Linked DNA regions of Schizosaccharomyces pombe. The protein of the gene in region 1 interacts with the protein of each later gene in a biochemical or structural test. Each region holds a gene or a part of one and is shown on either strand. Other genes may lie near its edges. The genes, in order: ulp2 and pmt3.

The links.
Region 2: of the proteins of ulp2 (region 1) and pmt3, one has a biochemical effect on the other in vitro, tested with the Schizosaccharomyces pombe proteins (one study listed by BioGRID).

The regions. Positions count from the first base shown.
Region 1 is NC_003424.3:1,762,770-1,768,780, forward strand, and holds ulp2 (SUMO deconjugating cysteine peptidase Ulp2), read right to left. Parts: upstream 3,965-6,011; 5' UTR 3,943-3,964; coding exon 3,922-3,942; exon of another isoform or gene 3,876-3,921; coding exon 3,820-3,875; exon of another isoform or gene 3,762-3,819; coding exon 3,568-3,761; exon of another isoform or gene 3,487-3,567; intron 3,420-3,486; coding exon 2,573-3,419; intron 2,504-2,572; coding exon 2,399-2,503; intron 2,398-2,398; exon of another isoform or gene 2,345-2,397; coding exon 2,108-2,344; intron 2,024-2,107; coding exon 1,567-2,023; 3' UTR 1,464-1,566; downstream 1-1,463. Other genes in the region: transcription factor TFIIH complex ERCC-3 subunit Ptr8, read left to right, coding at 1-1,432; erp2 (COPII-coated vesicle-associated protein Erp2/3/4), read left to right, coding at 5,018-5,650.
Region 2 is NC_003423.3:2,504,234-2,511,281, reverse strand, and holds pmt3 (small ubiquitin-like modifier pmt3), read right to left. Parts: upstream 4,438-7,048; 5' UTR 4,389-4,437; coding exon 4,260-4,388; exon of another isoform or gene 4,166-4,259; coding exon 4,016-4,165; exon of another isoform or gene 3,967-4,015; coding exon 3,892-3,966; 3' UTR 3,723-3,891; coding exon of another isoform or gene 2,079-3,722; 3' UTR 1,624-2,078; coding exon of another isoform or gene 1,282-1,623; 3' UTR 1,232-1,281; coding exon of another isoform or gene 1,137-1,231; intron 1,119-1,136; 3' UTR 1,086-1,118; downstream 1-1,085. Other genes in the region: kin17 (KIN17-like protein), read left to right, coding at 1-497; Der1 family protein, read left to right, coding at 848-1,085, 1,137-1,231, 1,282-1,623; tmf1 (TATA element modulatory factor-like protein), read left to right, coding at 2,079-3,722; splicing factor Slu7, read left to right, coding at 4,836-5,975; SPOM_SPBC365.04C (RNA-binding and ribosome biogenesis protein), read left to right, coding at 6,284-6,985.

The DNA.
Region 1 (6,011 bases):
AGAAAAGAGTCTTAGTAAAATGTTTGGAAATGGTAGAGCTCGAAGTGGAATTATTGTATTACCATGTGGAGCTGGTAAAACCTTGGTTGGTATCACAGCGGCTTGTACTATCAAAAAATCAGTAATCGTGCTTTGCACCAGTTCTGTTTCGGTAATGCAATGGCGTCAACAATTTTTACAGTGGAGCAACATCAAGCCTGATCACATTGCGGTTTTTACTGCTGATCACAAAGAACGGTTTCACAGCGAAGCAGGTGTGGTTGTCTCCACGTACTCAATGGTTGCCAATACCAGGAATAGATCCTATGATTCTCAAAAAATGATGGATTTTCTTACGGGACGTGAATGGGGGTTTATCCTATTAGACGAAGTACATGTGGTTCCTGCTGCCATGTTTCGGCGAGTTGTCACCACAATTGCCGCTCACACAAAGCTTGGGTTAACTGCTACGTTAGTTCGTGAGGATGATAAAATTGATGATTTAAATTTTTTGATTGGGCCTAAAATGTACGAAGCAAATTGGATGGATTTGGCACAAAAAGGTCACATCGCTAAGGTTCAATGCGCCGAAGTTTGGTGCGCGATGACCACTGAGTTTTATAATGAATATCTTCGAGAAAACTCCCGAAAAAGAATGCTACTTTATATCATGAATCCTAAAAAATTTCAGGCTTGTCAATTCCTCATCGATTATCACGAAAAACGTGGTGATAAAATTATCGTTTTTTCAGACAATGTCTATGCTTTGCGTGCTTATGCAATAAAATTAGGCAAATATTTTATTTATGGTGGAACTCCACAGCAGGAAAGAATGAGGATTTTGGAAAATTTCCAGTATAATGAACTTGTAAATACCATTTTCCTTTCTAAAGTTGGTGATACGTCTATTGATCTTCCTGAAGCAACCTGTTTGATTCAGATTTCTTCTCATTATGGTTCTAGGCGTCAAGAAGCTCAACGTTTGGGGCGTATTCTTCGTGCCAAGCGACGAAATGATGAAGGCTTTAACGCATTTTTCTATAGCTTGGTATCTAAAGACACTCAGGAAATGTATTATTCCAGTAAACGGCAAGCATTTTTAATTGACCAAGGCTATGCTTTTAAAGTCATCACTAATTTAAAGGGTATGGAGAACTTGCCAAATTTGGCTTACGCCTCCAAAGCGGAGAGACTTGAGCTTTTGCAGGAAGTATTGCTACAAAATGAAGAAGCAGCTGATTTGGATGACGGTGAGGATACTAGCTTTGGATCCAGAAGTCTCTCTAGAGCACCGGCGAAAGCTAAACGTTCTAGTGGTTCTTTAAGTACATTGGCTGGTGCCGACAATATGGCATACGTGGAATATAACAAGAGTGCTAATAAACAGCTGAAAAAGGACAGTAAAGAACATCATGCCTTATTTCGGAAGCACCTGTATACTAAACGTCGCTAGCGAAGTTATACATGCTAGCATACACACGATATAGACATGAATTTTGTTGATTTTTCTACGCTAAAATTTTTGATAATAATGCTTTCGTTAAGTTTTAATATGAAATTATGATTTCCCTAATTCCCTTGTAAATTCTAATTTGTGATTGGCAATATTGCCAAATCATCATCATTTTCTTTATCTTCTTCATCGTTGCTTCCGCTGCTAAGCGATTGTCGTTCATTGTTAGACGACCACTCAGTTGACAGACGGCGAATTAAACCCTTCAAATCGCATCTCATCGTGTTAATCTTTTGAAGGTTCCACTGTTGGTCGAAGTTTTTAGCATCCGTCCGTCTAAGAGATTTATCTAAAGTATTGGCTATCACTTGCTCAGGAGTTTCAAGAAATAGTTCGACGAAATGTAACGCATATATACCACAATCAGAAAAATTGCTTTGTTGCGGGACTTTTGCATGAAACCCCCGTATATCAGTGGACTTAAGATGTACATTTTTCCTTTCGAAAGCTTCTTCCAGTAAATATTCACGTAAGTAATTTAATGCTCCTTTATGAAGATTTGCTAAAGAATCAAAAATCAAAATTGCTGGACTATAATTAACTTAGTAAACTGAATCAAATGATTTATGATATATTTTTCCTTTTAATCAATAAAATTGTAAACCTTTAACATACCTATTGCTCGTTAATTCTGCTTGTCTAGTCTTTGAAGCAGACGGTTGTTCCACAGACGACATAACTATTTCATCCTGCTCTTCCAGTTTTGTGTCCACAGGCATTAATCGATCAATGTTGCAGATAATAGCTAGATACCAATGAAATGTTTCATTGATAGGAACAATAATGTATTTTTTATGGAAAAGGTCAACTTTTTGAGTCCACTTTCGAACTCCTCTATGACCTAGCCGCTTGCTATATTACCCATTAGTGATCAAATAATTGATAGAAGTAAAGCCTGTTACATACCCATCTTTATCTTTTGAAGTAAGACGATTATAGAAAAATGTGTTAAAAATATGAGTGTCATTGGCCAAAGAAGGATTTTGTGTTTGTAATTTACAGTATAAATATCTAAATTTTTGAGGTTAAAAGAAGCGAAGATTCCAAAAAAAAAAAAAAAAAAAAAAAAAAAAAACTTACCTCAAATAAAAATCAACAATAGTATCGTTTAAAAATTCTCCCTCATTGAGTCTTGTAAGGTCGGTATTAGTAATGGCAATTGAATTTGTTCCAGAAAACGGATATACGAGAATAGTGGTACAAGATGCATCAGACAGAAGTGTTTTATCAGAACCTTGAGAACATAAAGTTGAAAAGTCATTGGAAGTGTTTCCAGCAGAACTTGATGACTGATTTTGCTCTTGAGCTCCGTTATTTGCCGTTGGACGCTCTGACGATGACTGGTTCGAATTTTTAATCCTGGAAAGAAGAGAGTCACCAGAATTGGAATTAAATGGAGTTGGCGAGGATGGAAGGGAATGTTTAGGCATTTTTGAGGAATGTGGAGACGAGGTCTGTTTAACAATTGACCTTACAGTTTTCTGGGGAGTGCGAGGGATGATCGTGGATTGTTTTAAAGTCAATAATTGTTTAAATTCTTTAGCCGAACTAGGAGATGTTAAAGAAAAGTCAGATTGGTCCAAAAGATCAAGGCCAGCTCTAGCGGATTCTACATGTAATGGGTTGTATAAAAATAATAAACTGGCAGAATCACCTATCGTAATTCTTTTCATATCTCTATTTTTTAAGGTTAAATGAATAGCATGTACTGGAGATTCCACCAAATTGTCTCTCCATCCTTGAAGCCAGCAACACCGCTTCAACAATTGGACAGGGATGTGAATGACTGGAATGCTAGTATCTGTGTAAGAAACATTTATTTCATGGGTAGTAAATTTTAAACACCCAGGCCTAGGATCGTAAAAACCTCCATAACCCCCTTTTGTGAAAGGCAGCTCGACCACATCAATTGTTTTCTTTTTTCGTGCTAAACAAAGTAGCCAAAAAGAGGCAAAAATAAGTTAGTTTTTATTTTAAAAAATCAATTATTGATACTGAAGAAGAGGAATTGTTCTAAACATTTTGCATTTCCTCATGCTTTACACATGGATCAGAGCAAAAAAGTTGCGACTTACGAGAAACCACTGTAACATTTTGAAAAGAGCGTTTTAAGTGCTTAGGAGGTGTTTGATCATCATCTATCTGCTTCCGCCTTGGTGAATCCTTCTGTATAGCAGTTCGAACCGTTGGCTTTTCCGGGGATGTTACACTATTCGCTAGCCTTTCTAGCGGGCTCTTAATAGGAATAGCATCATTTGGGCTAGTACCTCTAGATTGTAAAAATATTAATATAGGAATGTGAATTAAAAGACGAGGTAAAGTCAAACCTTTGTTTTCCAAACGGGGGAAGAAGACTAGTGAATGACCCTGATTTATCATCCAGCTAAAAAATAGTTAGTAAGAAAAAGAAACGAAAAAGAATAACATACGGCATCTTTGGAATCTCTCATTCTTCATGACATACCTGTTTTGGCGAGATAGAGAAGCCTACTACTTAATCAATGGCACAGGTTTTGTGAGCCACAGCGCGTCCAAATAAAACATAAGGATTCATTATTTTGCGGTAGATGATCTGGGTAAAACAATGTAAATAAAGGGTATCAACCAATGCAAAGGATGTAAGTATCTCTAACAGTGTCTTTAACTCAATGTAAATGAATAAAAAACGAAAGGCATAGTTGCTTTTTAAGCTGATTTCTTCCTAACCTTTGATTAATCATATTACGATTGTTTTGATTTTTTAATAACGAATAGCGAACAAAATGTTGCTGTTAACTTCCAAGAAAATGATTTTTTGTAAACTATTCTAAATTCTTTTTATTGACTAGAATATATTTTACAGATCGTTTATTTAAACTTGTATTTATCTCTGATTTACGAATGCATTAGATACATTAGTCAATTGCAACCATAGTCGCATTAAAATCAATGTAAATTATAAAAAAAAATAACAACAATACATTAAGAACAAGTAAGAGCATGGGACATTCACGCATGAAAACCTGTTTGACCTTTGTATAATATCATGAAGAAGTATAATAATACCAATATTACTTGAATATTTATTATATGATATCATAGTAAAGAAAGTTAGTTTTGAACGATTTCCTTTCTAAACTATGTTTGGGACTAGATCATTTAAAACCACCAAATTATTTTGATAATTAAGAAGAAAAACTTCTGCTTTTATTTTTCGAAGGTTTACTATTTGTTATTAGTATGCTGATGATTCTGGGTTTATACTCATTTTCATAAACAATTTTGTAAATGATTAAAAGAAGAAAAATTTGTAAAATTGTTTTAAGAGTATTTATTAAGACTAATACTCTAATTTATATTCCCAGAACGCTATCGATACTTGCCTTTTGCGATACAGCATATTCCACACTGTCAACACTCAACGTAGCAACAGCCTACTCTGCAGCTGAGCATAAAACTACTCACATATCGTAAGTGAATTTGTTTTGATACATTGGAATTAAAAGTTATATTAAATTTTTGAAGATTAACCTTACTTTATAGAAAATGCGCGTAATTACTCTAAGCGGCATAACACTATTTTTGCTCGCCAGCTTAGCTTCGGCTATTGAGTTAACATTCAAGTTAGAAAACCAAGAGAAGCAGTGTTACTACTTAGATTCTTTTCACACTGGCGAAAAAACACATTTCACGTACGCTGTTCAGTCTGGCGGTTCTTTTGATGTCGATTATATGATCAAGGCACCATCTCAGAAGACCGTTGCACTTGGCAAAAAGAGAAGACAGGCTGATGTATTTTTCACCCTCGAAGAAAAGGGTGAATATGAATTCTGTTTTGATAATCATATGTCTACGTTTACTGATAAAATTGTGACTATGGAAATCACTATGGAAAATGAACTTTCTCTTCCTGCATTAACCCGTGATGAAGCCAAAGACTACAAAAAGGACAGCATGCAAAGTACTGTTTTAGAGATCTCAACCGCATTATCTGAAATTGACCGTGTACAAAATTACTTCAAAACTCGGGAGCATCGTAATTATTCTACTGTAAAGTCTACTCAAGCCCGCATCTTTTGGTTTAGTCTTGCTGAATCTATAATGGTTGTCGCTCTTTCTGCTCTTCAAGTCTTTATTGTAAAGACATTCTTTAAACGATCTGGTCGGAGAGGTGTATAAACTGACTAGTCGGTCACCTTTCTAACAATATTCATATCTGTCATGCCTATGTATGCCTTTAATCAGTCTTAACGAAGCTTATAGCTCTATTGTTTTATTCAGGATTATATTATTATGCCAGGATTTAAATAAGACAATCGACATGCGTCTTTATTAAATCAAGGATTACAATTTCTTGTAGTTGAAGTATTTTCCACTAAGCAATATTATTATTTCCTTCATTGCATTTTACAACTGTATTCGTGTTTCATACAAATTTAAGCAACCTATCAACGAAATAAAGAAAAAATGTGCTTAATGAGTATTTAAGTATAAAAAATTGTATACTATGAAAAAAAAAGAATGGGTAGGGTTAGCGGCC
Region 2 (7,048 bases), on another chromosome or scaffold:
CTTATATTGATAAAAACCCTGCTAATATCTTAAGAAATGAGGCTAACAAGAAACGAGAACGTCAAGAAAAATCTGATGAAGAACAACGTCTTCGCTTGCTTGATGAACAGATTAAGCGTGCTTATGAATCAGCACAGAATAACGAGGACAATAAGGATGGAAGTTCAAGGGAGCAACCTGTACTACATGAGATTGATCTTTCAAAAAAAGGAAACCCGATTCAACTTAATTTATCCTCATCTTCAGATTCTCACTCTGCTCAAAATGAATTTTTTCAAACAAGAAATACACCCACATTTTCTTTTTCTAGTTCATCCTCCCAGACCTCCTTGAAGCACAAACCAAAAAATGTTTTTGCAGAGCTGAATAAAAGCCGTAAAAAGAACAATAAGGATTCTTTAGATCAAGGGCAGAATGTAAAAAGGCCACGGTCAGCTGTTGAAGACATTATTGCTCAAGAAACAATGAGAGAGAAAAGACGCAATATAAAGCTCTAACCGGAGAATTGACGTTTTTAAAAGGCTTCAAAAGTGAGAATTTATTTATTGGTTTATTATTTATAAAAAAAATACGCTTGTACTTGTACTTTTACTTTTAATGTAGCTTATTTAACCGTATATGTGTTATTTAGTAGCCTTTCTGCTAGCTTAGTCTACTTGATTTGAAGGTGCTGTAAAATACATGAAAGCTCCAAATTTCATATAATTTTGCTTTCACTTGATCTAAGTTAGAGATTTAATAACTTATATTTTACTATAGTACATATATATGAAAATGTTCGATACGTTAGTAATTGTAGCACAATTCCGTATACAACCTTGCCTGAACAAACATAATCAGTTAAGACATGGCTTCGGAATTTTCCGGTCAAATACAAGAATTGCTGTCTAGAATACCTCCTGTAACAAGGTATATTCTGCTTGGAACAGCAGCTACCACAATTTTAACTTTATGTCAACTTCTTTCACCTTCGATGCTAGTTCTGCATTATCCGTTAGTCGTTCGTCAGAAACAATGGTATCGTTTATTTACTAATTATCTCTATGCTGGAACTGGATTTGATTTTATCATGAACATTTATTTTTGTACGTAAATCCATTAAAACCTGTATTTAAATTCTAACGTTTTGTCAATAGTTTACCAATATAGCACATACCTGGAAAACTTTGTCTTTGCTAGGAATGCAAAAAAATACATTATTTATTTAGTTAAAGTTGCTCTTTTAATTGATGTAAGGAGTATTTGAAGGTCTAAAGTATGCTTATTAACGTTTCTCTTTAGGCATTTTCCTTGATCTCAGGACTTGGAAGCGCGTTAAATCAATCGCTTGCCGCTGCCATTGCTTATAATTGGTCTTTGTTTAACTCATTTTCCAAAATCCAGTTTTTGTTTGGTTTTCATGTTCAAGGCAAATATTTGCCATATGTTCTTCTTGGCTTCAGCTTTCTAACCGGAGGTCTTCCATCTCTAGTAGTATTGGGTTTTGGTATTATCTCTGCAATGATCGTCAATTTTTTTGATTCGATTCACACTCCTGTTGTCCATCGCTCCAACTCTCCCAAATTGAATTCCCAAAAGGTGTCTGGAACATTCATTGGGAAGGGCAAAAAGTTAGGCACTTAATTTTTCATATTGATGATTTCATTAAGTGCGTTAAAAACAGTCGATACGTGTTCGAAATTTTTATCAATATTTCTTACTCCATTCATCACCTGTCGAGTCTGGTAGGCAAACTTTCACAATTTTCAATAATGCATCAATGAGTTCCACTATTTCAAATTTTTGATGAATAATATTTCACTTCTTTCCTGTACGAACACGACGGCTTTCTCATTCATATGCTGATAGCTAAAAATCCGAACTACACTAATTTGTTGAAATGTAGCCCTTTATTATAATGTTCTTATCTAAATTTCTTTTTTTATCCTTCACCAATAGACTAAAGTAAACATATGTACAAATTGACGTGCGAGGCATATGCACTTAGAAATCTTTTATTTTACGTTCATAAAGTAAAGTGGGCCTATACCACGTAGAGTACACAGATCAACTACCAGCCAGTGTACGGTGAAGCAGGCATGGAGAATTCAAAATGGGGAGGTTTTCTTAAGAAAGCAATGTCAAATGTTGAAACCAGTATTGACAAAGTCTTAGACGGTAATCAGATTGAGGAGATGTCACGAGGAAATGCAAAATCAAAAGATGAGATTATCGCAAAGCTTCTTACGGAAGGACAGGCGCTTTCAAAAAATGAGTTAAAGTTAAACAATACAATTAAGCAACTTAAAAAGAGTTTAAGTGAAGCTGAAACAAAGTTGAAGCGCCTAGACGAGAAACAAGCGACTCCGGAATTACAGGTATCTGACTCAAAGGAGATGGAGGAACAATTGGAACTACAAAAGTCTCAATTTGAAAAGAGGATATCAATTTTAGAGAAAGAAAAGGAGGATCTTCAAAGAAAAATGGAAGAACTTACAGTAGAAAGCATGGAGGTTGTTCGTCTTACGCGTCAAGTAGAGACCCTCTCAACCCAGTATTCGATTCAAAGGAGTCAATGGGTACGTGAAGATGAAAAGAAGAAAAAGGAAATTCAAGACCTGAAAGAACTTTATGAGAAATCCGAGCATGGTGCAAAGAATTGGGAAAGGGAACGTGAGACTTTCCAGAATCAAGTATCTCAAATGTCTAAACAGTTAGATTCATTGGAGAAACTTTGTGAAAGGAAAGATGAAGAAATAAGGAGTTCTCAGGCTTTTAATATGACATTGAGAGAGGAAAATGATACTTTAGCAGCCCAAAATTTGGACTTACAAACACAACTAGACCGATTACAAAGGGAGCTTGACACTAATATAAGAAGTAATGTTAAATCTAAGCCTAAAAAAATTGTCACTACAGGAGGAATTCCTGAAAATAATGATTATACGGTTGGAAAGGTAGATACGCTTAAAGTCACCAAAGAAGATGAAGATCCCACTACCCCTACTAATGCTATTCCGATACCTTCATCTATGAGCAAGCGTGATGAAGCTTTAGAAAATGACAAAGATAATTATTTTGACGACCTACATCCCTTAAATATTTCAACAAGTCCGCAACCATCTCCTTTGAGTTTTTCAGAAATCCCACAAAGCGATACACGGAATGCTTTAGAAAACTTTTTGGATAATCTTCCTTCCCCTTCAGAAGAGAGATCCAGAATTTCCAGATCAGCATCAGAAGCGCGAAAGTTGGGTATAAACGCTCAGTCAAGGTATGCTTCCATAAGCAGTGCAGTTCTTTCTCCTCCTTCGGAAGCTTCAAGAAAATTTAGCCTATACGAATCTGAGGCAATATCACCAACATCAGGGACACCCAGCAATCTTGAAAAAGGTGCCGGGAATGTTCCTGATGTTAGTCTTTTGGAGCAACTTGCTACCACAATTCGCCGATTAGAAGCCGAACTACAAACAACTAAGCAGCAAGTAGCGCAACTTATAATCCAAAGAGATCAGGCCCGTCAAGAAATTGTTGATGCCTATGTAAATAATGATGCAAATGAAGATTCAAAAAAGCAAGTGGAAGAGCTTAGACTACAATTACAGAACCTCGAAAAAGAGCATGCCAGTACGTTGGTAACACTTAAGCAGAAAAGTGACAAAGTGTTTGAATTAGAGCTGGACATTAAGGATATGCGTGAACTTTATGTCAGTCAAATTGATATATTGGCAGGCAGGCAATAACGTTTGGAAAAACTTGTATTAAAAAAAAATAATTTTAATATAAATCATTTTATTTAATTTCATTGATTCTTTCAAATATTTTGAGCGACGATGCTGGAGATGATAAACGTATTGGCAAAATCAAAATATTAGTTTTGAGTATATGAAACAGCTTAAAAATACTTGTACTCTAAAGGCATAGATGGGTGCAACCACCTAACTGTTCTAAGACAGCCTCAATTTGATCGCCATCTTCCATATCAAGCTAAATGTATAGTTAGTACCGGCTTTTGTTGTAAAAGTTTAAAACTTACCTCAGCAGGTGTTTGATCTGGACGAATACGTTCCCCATCAACAAGGAAACGTAAGCTGTTCATACTTTTTCCTTGTCGTGCACAATAAATCTTCATTAACTTGCTGAACTCAGTGGTCTTTTTAATTTTGAAAAATACTTCGTTGTTATCCTACATCAAGTTAGCTTCACGATTCGTGCATTAAAGACTTTTGAAAGCAAAAGATGACAGGAATAGCATGAAAGTCTCTTGCTGTAGCACACACCTGTCCGACAACTTTCAAATTGATATGCTCTGTGGATGGTTTGACATCTTGTTGCGAAGTGTCACCTGTGGTAGGAGTGATAGCACTTTTGTCAGCATCAGAAATGTTTGCTGATGGTGATTCAGACATTTTTTCTCAGATACTATATAAAATCGAATATACAGGTACAGGGGGGTACAATCAAATTCTCATAGATCAGGAATGACTGTTGTGATTGTTTGAAGCAAGAATAGCGTAATGTGGTATATAATATAACGTGTATAAATCTACTCCACTATTTTGTTTAGTTGTGTCTTAAAGCTACGTTAATTATTTGCTTACTACGTTTACTCTGCTTATAACAATGGTTAGAAAACCGTAAACTGCAAATCTACAAGAATTTTTGAAACGCTAGCAAATATTTGTCGAACTATAAAAATAAAGCCGTCGATAAATAAGCCGGTTTATATCGTTTTGTTATAAAAGACAATTTTGTTGATTTCATCGGTGTTAAACCTTTACTTGAATCTTTTTAATATTTTCGAATTAATTGGCATAATAATCAAGCATTAATATTCTTATTTATTTACCTTAAAAATGTCTTATATGAATAATACTTTTCAATCTAATTATGATTATTCTAAGGACAAAAACTTTATGTCAACAGACATTGGACCTTCGATGCGTGAAATGAAGGCACAGAAGCGTCGTAGTCGTCCTATGGATAATCCAGATGCTGATAATCCCTATATTCCTAAATTCATTTCAACCGCTCCTTGGTATGCTCAGGATGATGATGCGGTCGAAAGATTAGCCCATCAAAGGATAGGCAAGAAAGAGACACCAAGTGGTGGTCGTTCCTCCATTGAAGGCTCTTGGTACGTTAGAGGGAAAAAATTAGGACCTGCTGCTACAAAATATCGAAAGGGTGCTTGTGAGAATTGTGGAGCCATGTCCCATAAAGTTAAAGATTGCATGGAGCGACCAAGAAAGCGGGGTGCTCGTTGGACAGGAGAAGATATTCAAGCAGACGAAGTTATTCAAGATATCAACGTTTCATGGGATGCGAAACGTGATCGTTGGAATGGCTATGATGCCACGGATTATAAGAAAGTTATTGAGAGATATGAAAAATTGGACGAATTACAAAATAAGGGGGAAGAGAATAGGGATGCGTCAGAAAATTCTGCTGTTAAAGCATCAAGAAATTCCACCGTTTCTGGTTCCGAAGATTCTGCATCCATAACTACACCAAGCCTTAGAATGCGAGAAGATGTGGTGGCGTATTTGCGAGCTGACAATAAAAACTTACAATATGAACCCAAATCCAGATCAATGAGAGACGAAACTGGATATCATATGGTGGATGATTCTTCTGGAGGTGCTGGCTTTGTCAAAGCATCTGGTGGTGAAAAAGAAGACTTCGAAAAACTACAAATGTTTGCCTGGGAAGCTGAGCGTTCTGGAACTCGTGTCCATGTTGTAGCCAATCCAACAGCTGGTGAGCTGGAATTTCGAAAAAACAAGGCATCTCGTATGACTACCCAGAAACATATTGATCAAAGCATATTAGATCGTTATGGGGATGGTACCTCTAAAGTGAAAGACAAAAAAGCAAAAAATAACGAAAAAGAAGTTCCGGATTTAGCTATTCTTGATAAATCTGAAAAAAGCAAAGGAGAGTCGAACACAGATGAAGAATCCGAAAACTTAGTTATTGTTGAAGGGGACTTATGATTTTATTTATATATCTAATAATATCTAATAATGACTGAATGTACTGCAATGACATTTTTCTAAATATAACACTAATTAACTTGTTATTATTTCTTTAAATTTTATCTTACTTCGTTGAACAAGAGACTTCTGATATTGTCTAGCGATGGTGCAATTGTACTTTCCAGATTTGTTTAACGAAGTTTTAAGAAACTTTGTTATGTATACATTCTGTCAGAAGGGTAAACATCGTTAAAATATTCTTGCCTATGGATAGAGGAACTTTTGTACTGAACACCTTCAATTCTCCATTATCAAATTTTTATTTAATGTCTTCGAAACTATCGAAAAAGAAATTAAAATCTTTGGAATACCGCTCCAAAAAATTTGATAAAAAGTCGCAAAGTTTGGAAGAGCATGAGAAGAAAGTACAGCAAAAGAATGAGGAATTAGAAAAGAAAGCCGCTGACAAAATATCGAGAGATGAACTACCAGAAAAGCAACTAGCACAATCAAATGATAAAGATAAACATAGCGTTTCAAATCCCCCTCATAAAACTTTGAAAAGCAAACGACAGAAAGGGAAAAATAATGACAGAAAGGTCATTTTGTTTGTTGGTAATTTGCCTAAGGATTCTTCTGTTGAAACTCTACAACTTCATTTCAAACGCGCAGGTCAAGTTCCTTCGGTTCGTATTCCTACCGATAAAACTAGTGGTCGTCAGAAAGGATATGCATTCGTTGAGTTTATAAATCCCAAGACCGATGTTATTTCAAAAGCTTTAAAGTTTCATCATACTATTTATAAGGAAAGGAAAATCAATATTGAATTAACTGCCGGAGGAGGCGGCAAAACAGAAGCCCGCATGAATAAAATTAAGGAAAAAAATCGCAAATGGAAAGAAGAAATGAGACAACGGGTTGCTAGCGAGGAACAGCAGGCAGGCGAGGAAAAGATGGCCAGGAAAGCTGTTGCAGATGAGGGATTGGAATCTGGAATTCACCCTGATCGATTGAGATTATTGCAATAAATCAAATTCCTTGGAAAATTTAAGCGCTTGAGGTTTTTTTGTTTTTTTTTTTTTGTTTTAAAT